3 linked regions of the Drosophila melanogaster genome follow. The gene in region 3 interacts genetically with the main gene of each other region. Each region holds a gene or a part of one and is shown on either strand. Other genes may lie near its edges.

Region 1 (5,894 bases), on a different chromosome or scaffold from region 3:
CTGCCTAAGTTGGTCGAAGCGTCGAATATCAAGTAATTGTCATGTGCTATTGTGTGACGAGCGATCGTTCACCGAAAAATGAAATTCTTAACCGGCATTAAGTTGTTTGATTCGGAGGAGTTTTGTCACTGGGCCCTATCAGAAAGTCAGTGTTTAATTGATGGATTGTTTACTAACAAATCCGGCCTAGCGCAATATTGATGATATCTTAAGGAACGTCGGAACAAAATCTGATTCATGTGCAGCTTATTTTGAACTCAGTCACCTGCCAGGTGACAGTTTATCAAAGATAGTTATTACACACACCGCGCAATCACTCACCGCTAATTAGCTATCCAGATTGCAAGGGGCGATTGAGCCCGCAAACAACCCATTTAGCGGCTCGTTTCTCCATTATTTTGCTTGACTAGTATAAAATACTTGGCAACGAGTTTTCTCCGCCAGCATATCATAATCTGAAATCTCGTTATTCGATTAGGCTTAAATCAAAATGATTTATACGCAACTCCAGCAAGTGCAGTTAATTACAAGTTGAAATGTCTCATTAATAATCGAGAGAGTTGCATATTGATATGCACCCGTAACGCTCAGGCTAACTAAAATAGTGGGAGTACACCCATTGGTGTGATATGGGAGAGTTGGTTGGACCTCAGGTGAGAATATAAATAAATATGAGTTGACCGATCTGAATTTTTTTATAGTAGAATTATTGTTTAAAATGTTTATTCCCTAGTATATTTTTACTATATACTGCGAAATGAAGGTTATTAATAACAGTATATCTATTTGTGCCGAATACAACACACTGTCCCTGTTAAAGCAAATCTAAGGCACGACAAATCCGTTAAGGTAGCAGAGTAAATATTACTAAACATACACATGCACCCGGAGATACAGCCACACGCACACGCACACGCCAGCGGCAAATTGTGAACATAAATCTCTCCGGTAATAGGCGCACACGGGGAAATTGGAGGGGGTGGAGAATGGAAAAGATGGCAAGCAGAGCGTAGCGTATTTTGAGTTTTTCACTTTTTCGCATGATTTATTCAATTCGACTACGTCATCGCCTTGGAAAATCTTGAAAATTCGTGTGTATCTGCATGCAAATCAAACGAGAGCGAGACAATTTGTCGCACTTTATTATTAATACTCCAGATGCACCCCCGAATACCCTCGCCCCCGCAAATATAGTGTCATAAAACCCGTTTTTAGCCTTCAGTTAATTTGCTCAGACTCAGGCTCACTCGAGTGACTGTTCGAGAGCGAGTTCGAAAAATATCTTGAACTTGTTTAATCATAATTTCAGAGAAACCCAGATACAGATACACAAACGCTTACCCCAAGTTAGTATCCCATCATCGAACTATGGCGATTTTTCTGTTATTTTCGGATTTCCCCTGCCAGCCACCCTTTTCAAATCAAGTTCTGCTTTTCCCGATCCGAGGGTCTGGACTCGTAGTCGTGAACTCAGTACTCTTGGTTCTGCGGGTGGGTGTTGTGATATATGGGCGCGCTATTGGCGAGGCGCTGAATTTATAACGACAGGTGTGCGACTACGCCGAACCGCCAATGCCAATCATCAAATGCCATGAAATCATAGTTTCTTGATATATTTATTTGGCCGATTTGTGGTTGAGAGTCTGCAATACTATTTCAACAAGTTCGGCTATCAGTTCACAATGACAATGGTTTTTGATTTTGATTGAAAACGTTCTATATTCAATATATGTCGTATATACTTGGTATATATAATATTCTATTTAACCAGATACTTGAACGCACATAAAAAGCAATTGCAAAAAAATAATATTAACTGAATGAGATGAATGTAATTATTTTATATGTGAATATTTTGAGTATGGCCACTTTTAGTTAAGAATTCAATATTTCACTATTTCATAATGAAAAACACTTTGATGCACTTTGGTAGTAAAATCTCAGTTCGTTTATCCTTCATACCCAGAGTAGTCACATTTTTGAATCCCCCGAATAAGGCCATGTGAATCTTTTTCTTAATTCTACATCTTTCACTGTTCTATGGAAATAATCTTCCATATAACACTTACCCGGCATTTAGCGCCTGTCTGTAGATCTCGAGCATCAGAGCCTCGTGTAACATTTTTAAATTTTGCTGAATTTTGACGGTTTGCTGGAACTTGGATGGTTTGCTCTTTTTGGAGCAAACAACGAGGATTTTAGTTGGATTTTGGAACTTAACTTTAGTTTGACACAATGATCATATAATCTATTGTTTTGCACTTGGTACGTTGTAGTATAACTTGTTGTTGTTGCAGCGTATAACTGATTAATTTATATTTTTTGGATTTTGTAATTTATAAACTTTCGTATGTCAGACAAAAAATGACGTTTCGAGGCGTTTGTATTTTTAATTCCTAATTTGTGTTGATTTAAATTTAATTTATTAATTGCATTGAATCGTATACTTCGTTAAGGTTTGTTGATTTAAGTAACTGGCTTTACATTATGTATGTAGTGTAATTTTGGTGAATTAAATACCGTTTAATGTAAATATTTGCAATAGTTTATCTTTAGTTTTGGTAATAAATATATTTTTGTGGTATATTTTGTTTAGCTTGTGGTAGTTTTACGTATACTTTGTTGAACCATTTGTAGTTGTATGTTTCTCGTATGTTTCAGTCTTGATCGAGCATTTGCGTTCGAGAGTATCAAACCTCTGCTTCTTTGACTAGATATGATGGCGGCCTGGAAAACACTCGTTCTATCCTCCCCCAAAAACGCGTTTTAAACTGAGAATTCACTGTTCTGGCGGAACCGCGGGTCGCGATGCGTGCGTCTTCTCATCCGGATTCGTCGTCACTACTCGAACGAAAGTCCAAAGGCGATTGAATCCCGCTGGCCGGGTTCCTTCGTCACTAGCCTCTGCTGCGGTGCTCTGCCGGTGCGCTGCTGCTGCGCTGCCGTCGCTGTCAAGCTGACAAACAACAACAACGGGGCGCTGCTGCTCTGCCTTCACTGATTGATACGGATGAAAAAATGAAGCGACGCGACGGACGCGCAGCGATTGGAAGCTGCGCTGCTGTTGACGAGCAAACACGAAGCCCGCGTTTTGGCGACGGCAATTTCTGATTCGATTTTGCGTTCTGGCGACGGCTGCGCACTTGTGTGTGTGTTGTGTGTGCCGTGTGTGCCACCCACACCCTTGCAGGACAAGCTGGCTGTCAGCGTGATTAAATGTGCTACTCTCTCGCTCGCACTCGCCGGCACTCGGCTAACTAATTACCGTACGATTTTTCCAAGTGCGCCGAGCTTTTTCGCACGATCGTACGCAGTAACGGTTTCTTGTCGACTGACTGACTCTTGGCGAAAAGAACCCGAAACCGATGGGTAGCCAAAAGAGAGCGCGAGAGAGAAGAGAGAGAGAGAGCGACAAGAGCGCAGACTTTCCCCTGTGCTGGCAAGTGAACGCTTGGAACTGAAACAGGGGAAATCGCTAGGGAAAGAGATAGCGTTGTGGGACCGCTCCGTCTCGCTTGCTCCGAAAGTGTGTGAAATCTGTTTTGTCGTTTCGTCACCCTTCTTTTGTCCTATTCCGAATCCGATTCCATCACAATTAAGATTTATGACAGTTTAACAAAAATGCTCTCACTCGCATGCGCCGTCCTGCTCGCAGCCACTCAAACTGTGTCGGTCCCTGCTCTGTTTTTATTTCTTTTCAAAATAAACAGTAGTTGTTGCTCTCTGAGCTTTTCGCCCTCGTCACTTTTAGCCTCTTCCCTCTCGCTCACCTTCCTTCATACCCTCTGCTGTCAACTTTTGTTCGCCTTTCTGCAGCTTCTTCGTGGATCTCGCTTCTTTTGTTTCGTTGCATTGCTGTGCGAGCGAGTAGGAGAGTGAAAAAGTGGAAAAGTGGTTTGGGGCAATTTTCACTTGAAATCAACCCATTCCACTTTTCTTTTTGGCTGCGAAAACAATTGAATTAGCGACACTCCGGCCGTTCTTTCCTCTGAAAATGTGCCAAAATGCCGCGATTTTATTAGTTTTCATGGCAAGGTGTCAATGTTTGTGAATGCGTGAATGTAAGGCTGTGTAAGAACATTGATGTACATATGAAAGTATAAAGCCGAATGAAGTACAAATTTGGTTTAATAAGTGCCTTTATACAGTCTAAAAGATGACAGCATTGAATACTATTTAAATACTAGTATCATTAATACTCAAGATCACGTCTAATAAGTGCATCTACAATATTTTTCTTTGTGCCGACCCTGGTTACCTTAAGTTTATATATTGCATGTACTTTTTCACATAAATTGACAAACGTATAAAATAGTAACTTTCGATACATTATAATACATTACATTATAAAACATTATATACATTATTCTATAAAATTATCAACCGGTAACCGAGCATTGCCTTGATTCCTATGCATATTTACGGAGACGACTACTGAATCAAAATTTAGTTGCGAGGAGTCCACGAAAGGTGCCCCTACTTAGCCCAAGGCATTTTAAGCCAAGGTTAAACTTCGCTAAAACCCACCTAAACTGGCCAGTCTCCAAATGGCGTAATATCCCCTGGACTGATGTGTTAAAAATAGTGCTATTTGGTGGAACTGGTTCATATGGTTATATCTGACGACCTCCAAACACCGAGTACCACCCAAAACACCCACTGAAGACTTTCAATCACGGTGGACCTGCAATACTGGTATGGGCTTGTTTATTTTTTACAATGGTATGAGTCCATAACATATGATTTATGGTATTATAGACCAAAACGCATGTGTAAATATACTAAGGGATGTCTTACTGTCATATTCTTATTATAATATGCCCTTAAAATGGAAATTCCAACAGAATAATGATCCGAATGGCAGAAGCAAATCGGTTAAGAAAAGGTTCACCCAAAATAGAATAGATGCAATGCCGTGGCAAGCACCATCTTCCGATTTAATCCCGATTGAAAACCTGTGGGGGGACATTATACAATATGTGACGAATAATTCCCCGACGTCTAAGGCTCAGATTTGGCAAGTTGTGCAGGATGCATTGGCAAAAATTCCCCCCAAACGTTGCCAGGACCTGGTGGACTCCAAGCCGCGTAGGTGGTGGCTAACAGAGGCTATCCAACACATTAATAAGAAAAACTGTTAGTTTTAAGTCAAATTGAATTTTGTTAATATTTTTTTATTGCACTGCTCTTTCAGTGAACACCAGAATATCTGCCTATTATGTTGTTTTGATCTATATTTTAGAAAACTATTAAAGAAATAAGTGTGAAATTTTTGTTGAATTGTTGGAAATTAAATACCTAATGATATTATAAAAAAAAGCCCATCAAAACTGTAAATCATAGGATTTTTCTATATTAAACTCGCAGGTGCAAAGCACTGCTATTTTTTATGAACACAGCTGTATATTGATTTAAGTCAGAAGTTAGCATCACAATAAGGGAGACATGCGTTAGTGTAAAGTACATGTACATACATACATACATATGTACAAATAATATCTCTTTAATTTTTTGCCAGTTTTTATCGATATTTATAACTTTGGTATGCAATTAAATTCCTTGAGGCTAATTAAATTTCGTTTTGCATATACAATATTTAACCATACCAATTTTTGTTTCGACATATGACTCCTATTATAAAGGGTGTTCATTCTATTCTTTGATTTAATGATGACATGATGATTTGGTTTGCATATTTGCGCGTAAGTTTCATTAGTGGACGAAAAACCCACACTATCAAAATCCGAACTTAAAATCTACCAATATTTGACGAATGCCTGGTGGAGCCATAAAACTCGAAAATGGCGAAAAACTCGCTCGTTTTTTTCTGCTTTTGCCGCTGTTTTTATTGTTTACTGAGTCTTCATCCAATGGGAATCCTCGCTGCACTTGTT
Region 2 (5,807 bases), about 13 Mb from region 3:
CTGCTTTTGACCATTCTCTTTCCCCCACTTCTTTCAGTATCTTTCAGTATCTCATCTTCAAAAAAGTTAGTGCTCTGAGCCGTCGAATTGTATTCGACTTCAATTGTTTTTTACTTGCCATTGTAATTGTTGATTTTTTTCGCACATTTGGTTGAGTCATAGCAACAAACCGAAGATCACAGCTTTTTCGAATTGTTTACTTTGAGCATTATTCAAAGCGTCGTAATGGGATTCCCAGAACTCCTTAAATTGAGCCATAATACCCTTAAGCTGCGTATTGTTTAAACAATAATAAATACGATTTGATGGTTTGCCAACTTCTAGGTGGCCCAATAAAAAACGTATTTGTTTTGAATAGATAATAGATAGATAATATGCTCATATAGAGAAGCAGACCGTTAAAGGTCAAAATGATAGCTGTTATGAAAAAGAGCAAATAAATTATAATATTGATTAGTCTACACAATTAAGTACATTTCTTATAAATAGAAATGTCATTTAAAATTGCTAACACCATAGATTTTAATAGTTAAAGAAGAAAAGATTAACAAATAAGTACGAATCTTTTGACCAATTTCTATAAAGAACCTGTCGATTAAATTTATAGCAGGGACTCATGGCTGATTCCCAAAATTTAGAAGTGCGACCAATTTAATTTATTTTATGATTCATTTATTGTCCCAATCTAATCGAAAAATTCCCCCTGTGGAACATTGGCTGATGTAATTTGCATTCTTCCAAGGCAGGGCCCACTGTATTGTGTACAATGGAGAAATCCCTCTATGGTTACTGATACCTAATACTTTGTTCCCAAATCAATTGATAGATAATGAATGCCGTTTCCACGCGGTTATCTTTCTGGATTCTCGTGGGAGTTGATATTGTTGTTGGGCATCCACTGTACTTATCTACATTTGAATTTGTGTGAATGTGTGTAATTTTCTCAATAAATGGCAAATAAAACAAACCATTAGGTTGGCTATATCTCATTTTTGAATTCCACCCGTCGAAGTTCGCTTATCAGTTTTTATAGCTCATTTACAGTGAAAGTTCGATAAAGTTACTAGCAGGGAATTCGAAGAAATTAAAAATAAAATCACACGAGTATGGCTACTAAAATATATATGAATTTATTATATCTTTGATCTGTCACATTGATCAAAATGAGTAAAAACACATTTTCTTATACGCCGAAAACAAACTGTTTATATTTAATGTCGGAACAGAATTATTAAGTTCAAAACCACCATCCTAAAAAAAAGCCTAGTCAACCTAGTGACCCATCCTTATCTGTGTGTTCGCTTTCATTCCAGTTGACATATTGACTCATCACCATTTGTGCCAGCTGATAAGCAATAATGATCGACTTAGAGGATCTGCCTCGGCTGCAATCCTTGTCCCCGGCGAAGGACATCGAATATACCTACCACCAGACCCAATTGCAGCTGAATCCGAAGAAGAAGGTCACCGTCCGGGTGCCCATTGGACCACCCTCGAAGTTGAGTAAGCTGATTAAGCCCACGGTGGCTTCCACGCCCGCTGTACTGGCCAAGCCAACGCCATCCATCACCCAATCGACGACGCCAGGTAACGCCAAGACCAACATTTGGAAAGGTGGCTTCCATTTTACCAATCTGGTAAGTATTGAAAGGCTTCGGTGTTAATTACTTTATCCAAATGCCAGCACAAATGTTCCCAGTTCAGAACGCAATATATCTATAAATTACCCCCATCAATCTAAATTAATTTTTATGAGCAGGTCTTTTAGATAGATTGATAGTCTTCTAGCTATATTTTGAATTACACGTTCTGAATAGTGTGGCTATCTGTTTTATTGAGCAAGTCTAATACAAATGTATCCATTTGTGATATCAATAGCTAACGGAAGTTATTGTTAAGATATTTGTATTTTTGCATGCATGTAGAATATCAATATCAATATCATGAAAAAAAATTATTTTAAATTAATATTAAGGAAATATAAAACTATATATATCCCTTTATTTTTAATTTTAATACAAATTTCAACTTTGTTATGTAGAACTAGTTAAAAAAATGACTAATGCAAATTAACTGAAAAATTTGCATGGACACGTGTCAAAAGCTTATAAGCTTACACCATATCTACATAAAATTGCAATAGCCACCATGTCTACATAAGTTACTCTTAGGGAAAATATAAATATGTTCTTTATATTCTTAAGATATTCTTTCTAAAAACTAAATCTAGAAATAAAAGGTAGGTAATAAAGATACATTTGTAACCGAAATCTACATTTCTAGCTCTCCTTTAAAAAGCTCTTTCTGTCACTGTTAGTTTAAGCTACATTTAACATTTCTGTTAAAAGCACAATGTATTATGGTGAGACCGCACTTGGCGGCCCCGAAAAAAACCGCAAAAGCACAAAACTCAACAAAATCGTCTGCAAAGAGCCTCAACTGGGCACACTTGATAAAAGCACCGCGCTGGACAGACGTTTTTTGCCTCAAATGTTTTGAGGCCGCAATCGAAAATCGCGACTGATTTCGACGGCGGAGAAATTGCCAAACGCGGCGTAACAAACAAAACACGTTTTCAAGCTCACCACGTAGGTACGGCGGTTGGCGAAAGAGAGTAGCAAAGCGGACGCGACAATAATTTGCCAAATAACAGTGAAAGAAGACGCGTAAAGGTGCGAAGTACACGCCGCTTAAATTGTGTGTGTGTGTGTGTGCGTGTCTGGCTGCGTGTGCTTGTGTGCCGGAACAACAAATGAAAAAGTTTCGGTTGTGCGTTTAAGAACTACAGTTGCGAAATGTTGCATGCCCCACTAAATAAGTGCAACTCATTGTGTGGTGGTGGTACTGTCGGTGGGGGTGGTGGGTTAAAGGCAATCAAAACAACAACGACCAACAGGCTAGCAACAACAGTTATTCAGCAATCGCCCCCTCTCGCTCTCGCGCTCAGTCTCCCTCTCTCGCTCCCTCTCCACCGCTCAGCTGACAGAATGCAATCGAGAAAAACATCGAGTTAGAAAGAATAGGGAACGAAAAGGAACTAGCAATTTGATAAATAATTTGTTGATGCAAAGTGCAGAGTGAATGTTGAAATGCTGCCGTTGCCGGTTATTCTCTGCTCATTCTCGAAGCTTCCATATTTCATTTTTCCTATTTGTTTTGCTCTCCGCGATTCTCAGCAAAAAATTAAATCGTTTTGCATTTAATTAATTGCATTAATTGTGGGCACAGACCGAATTGGAATTGGCAAGAAAAAACAGCAGTTGTATGCTTCAACGTGTGCGTGTCTTTTTTTTTGGTGTGTGAGTCAGAGAGAGACGAGAATCGGGCGATAAAAGAAAACAAAGAAATACAAAGCAATGTGGAGGCAAAACACATGCAAATATTAGGCAGTGTAAAAACAACAAACGAAGCGAAAATATTATTGTTTTAACCCTTGATGGACTTGACAATTTTTTGTACCTTAACGTAGTTAAATAATTTTACAGCTGTCTTGAAAATCTTAACATACAAATGACTTCAAATTCTAATTTGACGTAGGTCCAATATAGGGTTAACAAATAAGTGACGATTTCACCACGTAAAACGGCACCACCACCACACACACTCTCACACAAAAGTGCGTACCAGACGGCGAGAAAGAAGCACCAGGTGGCACATAATCAAATATCAATTGTTATTAATATTTAATGGCACTTGAATGCAAATTGTCTGCAGAAGAGAAAGTTCAAGGACGCAGACAAGCGAAATATATATTTAAAGTTGTTAAATAAATAAAACGCGTGTTTTCCAGCAATTAAAAGTAAAAATCGTAGAAAGTGAAACATAAACAAATAAGGTCTTGCAGAGCAAAAGAAAAGTGAACGGTAAACAATAAACCATTGTGTGTGCTGCAGGGAAGAAGAAGCAGCGAAGAGGAAAAGAAGATCAAGCAACGGCAACAACAACAAGGAGAACATTTACTGCGCCGCAGCTTTTTTACCGTTGTAGTCGGGTCTCATCATCCAAAAAAAATTTGAGGTGAGTGCACTGCAATACAGCCACAATCACACGCACACCCACACAAGAACCCTCTCTTGCACGCACATGCACACGTCATTTCCCTACCCCTCTCTTTCTCTCTCTCGCGCACATCTTTTCATTGAGAATTGAGCCAAATAAAGTTTGGATTTTTGTTAAAATGGCTTTAAACAAAGAAAGTTTATATCGAACCTTGAAAGAATTTTGCACACAATTTTTTCGTCCGTCCTTGAATCGGGTGCTTCACTTCGCATTGCGCACATTTCAAATGCTCGCGAGAGACCTTGAACAAGTTCAAGTTCAAAGCCATTTCGTCTGGGTCTGGGTCATTCCTTCCGCCTCACGCCCCCCTTTTTCGGGTGGGCGGTTGTCTGTTAACCTTGTTTAAGGGGGGGGGGGGTGTGTGTGTGGCTGGACAGGATGGGCATATTAAATGCGTTGTGGATATCAAACAGAATTCGGACAAAACAACAACCAAAGAAGGATACATGCATATATGTATTTATGTATTATACACACATATTTCGGAAAATTCGATTCTTGACCTGCTTAATTGTCTCTGAATATGAAATTAACTATGCTGAAATGCGCTAGGTCATCATCATAACAGCCTTTCTAGGCTATCCACTTTGGTTTGGTATGAAAACAAACTATGTGTTGTGTTTCTGTAGCAAAACCTTGTTAGTGTTTCTGCACATTTATAATTTCAAGTTTAAATAATAGAGATAAGGGATGTTTCCTTACGACAATCTTTCATTTATTTTAATATCTCTCGAAAGTATTACTTATGTACCTTAACTACATAATTGCGAACAGAAAAACATAATTGTGTTCGTTTTTGCTAAATAAATATGAATCCTAATATAATCGCGATGTGGAAATTAGATGTGTTTTTAATAAAAGACGTTACCGACCCGGAAGTTGAACTTTCTTTGGTGCACTTCCTCGTGCTTAGCAATTTATAAAATCGACTGGCAAACAAAACAAAGGCTGCACCACTCGAAACAAAAGCATTTTCATTTAACATTCAAACTGCATATATGGCCATGCGGCAATGTATGAATATTACACTACATATCTACATACTTGCATATGTACATATAGTTAGCAAATCGTTATGCTTACTAATTCCATTCTATTTGTTGTCACATCTTGATTTGCTTACAGAACAAAACCGAGGACAGCCATCAATTAAAAGCAAAGAGCATTGGAAAATCGGGGAGATAGGCCGTGGAAACTGCGAATTTTCAGCTTTTTGCGCAGATTTCGGAACGCCGAAGGAGGAGGAGGAGGAGGAGGCCGGAAGGCGGGGCAAGGCGACGTCATTGAACGCATAGATCCCGGACGACGCAGCCGTAGAGCTGTTGTCCGGGACGGAGAACAACAAGAACAACAGCAGCGGAGGAGGAGGAGGAGGAGGAGGAGGCGGCGGGCGGAGGTGGACTACGGACTACAAGAGTCACCCACGCACCCATTCGCTCACGTATCGAAACCTCTGAAAGCAACAAAATGATCTCAAACAAAAAATCGTACGCTATGAAAATGCTGCAGCTGGCTTTGGCCTTGAGTCTGCTGCATTATAATCCCGATTACCTGCTCCATCGCTGGGACTCGCAGCTGGAATTGGGCACCCATGGCGATGGATGGGAGCTGGAGATGCTGCGGACGGTACACCGCCTGGATATGGATCACAACCCGTATGGAAATCGTAAAGGACTGAGTCCCCGCATTGAGGATCTCCTAAACTTCGACGATCCTTCCTTGGGGGGAATGGCCAATGGCATAGGGGG
Region 3 (5,680 bases):
CTTAAGCGTTTCACTAATTTATTGCACTTAATTGATTCGATTTTATGTGATTTTTGTTTCACATAAATTACTTGGCTTTTGGCCCGAGCAGACGCACAAAAGTTGGACGTCTGAAAAAGCCAAAAGAAAGCGAGTCCCGAAACGAAAAAAGGGAAAAAGCAACCGCAAATCAATCAAAGTCTCATAAATTTGTCAAAGTGTTGACAAGACGCAGAAACAGAGCACCTATATCATACATAGTTCCCAAGATTTTGGGGGTTTGGGATTTCGGGATGAAATGGCAACCAGATTAAGTGCAACATCATCTTTTTGACCAGCGAAAACAGACACGGGAAATCCTTTTGGCGAGCGTCGGAAAACAAACAAGGCTATTTTTCATTTTCCTAAAAACGCCGGCCAAATCGCCCCGTCTCTCTCGCTCGCCAGTATCCCCGTCTCTTTCGGCGTAATGGCAACTGCAGCGCCAAGCCAAAAATACGCTGGTGAAAAATGGCCTGGGAATATGTGTTAACTGCTTTTTAAACTGCCACGAGGACGACGACACGACAGTAACAATAACAGCAACAATAGACAGGATTTCGGACTGAATACGAAGATTGGCATACCTTGTTACCCTGTAGTTATTGGTAAAACAAATTGGACTAATTTATTTTAGTTTAAAATGTAAAAAAAAATTTGTACAATCACGCCGAAGATATCACAATTGACTGAAAATTGCCCAAACATACTTGTCATCAAAAAACTTGTTCAAATAATGCAAAAGCCCGTTTCCTCAATTTTTTATTTTTGGTTTGAGATGTAACACCATTTGTACAGGGTATATAAAAAACCAAATGAGAGTAGATTCGCCAAACAGGAGCGCAGAATGACCTGCAAAATATGCAATTTTCAGCGAATGTTTTTGACAATTTATCGCCGTTCCATTTGTTGTTGTTCCCCAAGAAGTAAGAAAGAGAGAGAGAGGAGAAACTCGAACAGCTGTTTGTTGTTGTCAGGATCGCATATCCTTCCAAAGTGGCCAGATCACCGTTACAAGCCAAAAGGACGCAATAAAGGAACTGCAGCGAAAAGTTTGTTTTTGTCGTCCACGTTTCTTCTTCTTCTCCTTCAAGTTTCTTCTCTTTTTTGCCGCTTTTCTTCGAAGGCGTTGCCTATTCGGGCAAAAGTGTGTGTGTGCGAGTGTGTGTGGGGGCGCCAAAAGAGAGCGAAAAGTGAGCGAAAGCTGAAGCTGATGGACAACTGAAGCTTTCTCGCTGCCTTTCAACCTGTAAAGGTGCGGCGAAAAAGAGCCAAGCTGCCAACTGCCACTCACTCAAGCGAAAATAACAAATGGGATTGGTTTTTGCTGATTTTCGACGCCGACGCCGGCAGAGGGGCGAAAAACCCATAAGCCGTCTCCTTTTGGCCAAAGCCAAATAAATTTCAAACGCGGCGAACATTGCGCAAAAAGAGGCGAAAACTGAGAAAGAGAAAGAGATAGAACACCGCTGTACGGTACTGTATATGCATGTGAATGACAAGTGTGTGTATGACAGAAGAGGCGTACCAACAAATCAGTCATCGTCGCCCAGGATGCGAGCGCGCCTGCGCAGGCAATTCGCCGGAGCGTTCGCATAAACCATATATTCCTCTCGCTTGCACTCGCTGAGTTATGGCCAAGAGCGAGTTAATGGCACAATTGTTGCATCTGAACAGAGCGGGGCAGCTGCATGATTGACAATCATGCCGCACCGCTTGCACCCGTTGACTTTGCTGTTGTTTGTCGCTCAGCGCTCTCTTCGCTGTTAGTTAACAGCGATGTTAGGAGTGGAAACACGTCCGACTGTAGCGTAAATTCAAACGTATCTGGCGGGTTGGTTTTTCGATGAAATATCTTTCATCCGCACAGTGTATTTTTGACTGCGAAGCGCGTACGACGTGTGTCTGTGTTGCGTTGCGTTCGAATAAAAAAGAGAAGAAAAGCGAAAAAGTGTTGCCGTCGGTGAAGTTTATTATTATTATGATTATTATTATTGCCCGTTAACCACGCGTTTTGCCATCAATCAACAAATAAACAACACAAGAAACACTTTGGAAATCGCGCGCGTTTTTCCATCGCGCGAACAAAACAATCACGTTTTTTAGTGTGTTTTTCAATCACAATCGAAAAGTTCTCCTTTTCACAATTGAAGGCCAAAATAAATACTGTTATTTGAGGGCCGCGGAGGGAATTTCTTTCAACGAGGGGATCCCGCCGATCCCCCCGCAAAAACAAAGAAACACGCAAATTGCCGTCGCAAAAACACAACAGAATATATTGCATTATATATTAACAATATAATTTGTTCATCTCTAGTAACGTAGTATGTAGAAGCAGCTGTGATAAATAGTGCGCATATTATACGAAAAAAGCAAAAAGAGTATACGACAAACAAATAAAAATTAAAAGCAACCACAACTACTACTATAAAAATAACCAAGGAAAAGGCAAGGAAACTCGCAAAACGAGAGAGAGAGGAAAAGGGAAAAAACGCCATGGATTTATGACAACAACAAATGCAACCCAGTAACAAATGATGTTGCAGCAACTACTACAATACACGAGTATACCAAGAACATCAACAACAACAACTGCAACGGCAACCAACAACAAATTGTATACGATTTTTATAAACCAAACAAATGCTATGTAAATAATTATTATAACAAACACACAAGTAAAAAAAACATTCAAAACCAGATCTCCCGCTCTAGAAAACAAACAACAAACGCGCGCGTAACAAAAACGACAACATCAACAATACAACAAGTATACAAACGTAATAATAATACATAAAATCTAAACAAATGTGCCTGTGTTAAAAAAAAAGAAAGCAAAATCAAGAAGCAAAGCGTTCAAAAAGCAAAGGCTTCCCAATACATGAAAAAAGTGCAAAACATATATAAAAATCCAAGAAAATAACATCCAAAACTGAAGAACTGGAAAAGCCAAGAGTAAATCTAAGGACTCCACACGGGCAGCTACAGTAGAGCTTCCCTAAAACCGAAGCAGTTGCAGCGGCGGAGCGGGACGTCGGTCAGTGTGTTGCGCCCCCATTTGTTGTTCCTACTGTAAAAAGTGGCACAAATCGGGTTAGACGTCGCTCCCAGAGCATTAATGGCTCAGCCCAGGGTAAGTAGATCCACCAAAGTTCACTTTCTAAATATATAGAATCCATATAGAATGGTCCCCCGAGAGTGTTGTTATCCTTAAACAAGTTCCGACGGCTAAAAAACAAATGGGGTTCAGTCAATTTGTAATCAAGTCAAGTGGTGCCGACGGCACTTACAGGTTGTAGTTTATGATGATATTGTAACAGTTTTCATATCATGGATATGTTACCAGTGTAACCAAATCAATCTATAACCAGAATACGCAAAAAGTTTTAAAAATCTTCAGATATTAGTTAATCCAACTTCATGAAGTAGATCTATATAAATATTTCTTATACATGGCCTCCAAGCTTCTCCAATTTAACCCATTACAATCAATTCAATGGGGAATAGTTCTTGTTTATTAGAGCCCTATCAAAATGAATTTTAACTAAGCGTTTCTGAGTGTGTGTGTGTGTGTGTGCTTATGTGTATTGGAATAGGACAGAAATCACATTTGATTTATGCGGGTCATTTTCTGGTACAAGTTTATATAATTAACTGAGTCTGCAGCTAGACCATTTTATTTGGGAAGTGATGGAAATCAAAGATCGCCGAAATAGTGATAGATATTGTATTACATTAAACAACGGTTTACTCTAGAAAATCATTAAATAATGTTTATTGAAAATTGTTAGCTTTTCCCCTTAACTTTTCATTTTCACACCGCAATAGTTGATTCGATTTTTGTTTAAACATGGCTGGGACCTTCACCTCCGAAAAGCCCCCCCGTTGCATAGCCACAATGATTCCACCATTTTCCATCACGTTTATAAGGCATAAATTCTCGCCTCGCTTTTTAAACGGAGTAATAATTTTTACAATCCATCTGGATCGTAAATTATATGCTAATCAGGTGACCGGCAGTCTCCGCTCGCCCGCTCTTCAAAAAAATATTATTACCAAATCGCAGTTAGACTTTATCAATTGATTATCATGGACATGCGAAGTGAACTTGATTTTTATTTAACGGAGCAAAAAGACCTCAAACATGGCCGTTTGCCTGTGTGTGTGCTACCAATTAGCGTGTGTGTGTGTGTGTGTGTTACCAAAAGGTGGGCCATGCTCTTTGGGAGCATTAAAAAAATCAGAAAGAAATATAAAAAATAAAAATGGATATGGAAATGGAAATGGAGATGGGAAAAAAGAAATGCCCGCGGGAATTTTGTGTGTGTCTGCGTTACTGGCGAATAAATTTACGCCTGTGGTTTAATACCCGATTCTGTGCCGAATTTACCTCTTTGAATCCCCTTTTTCGTAATTCTCCTGCGGCTCTTTACCCGAATCGCGCCATTTCAATTCCATCAAATGAATTTTTCGACTCGGGGCGAGAGATATATGTATGTATGTACGAGTATGTGAATATATACGGGTGTTCTGTCTGTTTGTGTGCATTTGATGCATATAATTTTATTGCACATTTTGCACATTGCCAGCGGCCCAAAAGCGATCCATTCAGTTTATGCCGCTTCGTGGTTTTATTATTTACAATTTTATTTTTACCATTTTCCATGACTTTGCGCTGCTATAATTTGCGAAAAATGGCGGGAAGCAATTTTCGCGGGTTCTTCTCAAACCAAACTGCACATGCATTTTTATATATATTTAATTTGATTATTTTATGCCATCGAAACGGAGAGCAAACGAGAGAAACAGTGAGAAAGAGCGGCCGTGTAAAATGTGCAAAAAAAAAAAATGTGCAATTGCAATTTGTATAAAAATGTGCATTGCAGCTGCTGCCATTCTCCCCCGCGCCCCCTCACTTTTCCCACCATTTTTCAGTTCGTGTGCCATTTCAAACGCCTGCGAAATGCAGCACAAAAATTGTTTTGGTGTTATTTTAATTTAAAGGTTAACCGCAGCGTAATTTGTGGCATAAAATATAATTCGTCTATCGTGTGCTCGCCTCTCCCACTGTGTTTGTTCAGCTATTTTTTGTATTTCTCGTTCGCTTTAGAAATAAAATCAAAATCAAAATAGAAAAGATCAAGGAGAGCGGAGCAGCGGAAAATGCCACAGTCGATTCTGTGGTTTACTTTAGTGGCCAGCAGCATTTGCAAAAGTTGATGGAAACATTCGGAATTCGACTTAGGTGGCAAACTAAAACATTTTTTTTGTTGAGCCAGGAAAAAAATTCTAGTTATATATGTATATATTATCAGTATATAACAATGGTCCGCTGAAATGTGTACTTTCAAATATACCAACTGCTGAACTCATTCCATTAATAACAATAAATTGAATTTGAAATTCCCTATGTTACAAAATAACATTCGTCAGCAAAGTATAGTAATATTTTTTCCCGCCTAGTCCTTATCATATTGCAATAGTTTAATCTTTGCCAGCGACCAACCTTCGTCGCGAATTCTTTTCTAATTAAGTGAGCAATTCTCCAGTCTTCCCAGCCTCACCGCATGACTCATGGGCTCCCCACTTACCCCCTTTGCCACGACCCCCCGTTTATCAGGAGATTTCAGATATATCTTGGCTTTCGGTTGAGAATCCGCTC

The links. A genetic interaction does not mean that the proteins touch.
Region 1: of hth (region 3) and tsh, changing one suppresses a phenotype caused by changing the other (phenotypic suppression), as found in Drosophila melanogaster (one study listed by BioGRID).
Region 2: of hth (region 3) and cnc, changing one suppresses a phenotype caused by changing the other (phenotypic suppression), as found in Drosophila melanogaster (one study listed by BioGRID).

What each region holds. Positions count from the first base shown.
Region 1 is NT_033779.5:21,826,034-21,831,927, reverse strand, and holds the start of tsh (teashirt), read right to left. Parts: upstream 3,336-5,894; 5' UTR 2,123-3,335; coding exon 2,070-2,122; intron 1-2,069. UniProt on the Drosophila melanogaster protein: Homeotic protein that acts downstream of Arm in the Wg cascade during embryogenesis to determine segment identity throughout the entire trunk.
Region 2 is NT_033777.3:23,218,627-23,224,433, reverse strand, and holds the start of cnc (cap-n-collar), read left to right. Parts: upstream 1-2,472; 5' UTR 2,473-2,588; exon of another isoform or gene 2,589-2,672; intron 2,673-3,537; exon of another isoform or gene 3,538-3,790; 5' UTR 3,791-4,017; intron 4,018-5,184; 5' UTR 5,185-5,526; coding exon 5,527-5,807. UniProt on the Drosophila melanogaster protein: Plays a role in posterior cephalic patterning. Probable subunit of a heterodimeric regulatory protein involved in the control of head morphogenesis.
Region 3 is NT_033777.3:10,610,456-10,616,135, reverse strand, and holds the start of hth (homothorax), read left to right. Parts: upstream 1-1,859; 5' UTR 1,860-3,136; coding exon 3,137-3,151; intron 3,152-5,680. UniProt on the Drosophila melanogaster protein: All isoforms are required for patterning of the embryonic cuticle. Acts with exd to delimit the eye field and prevent inappropriate eye development.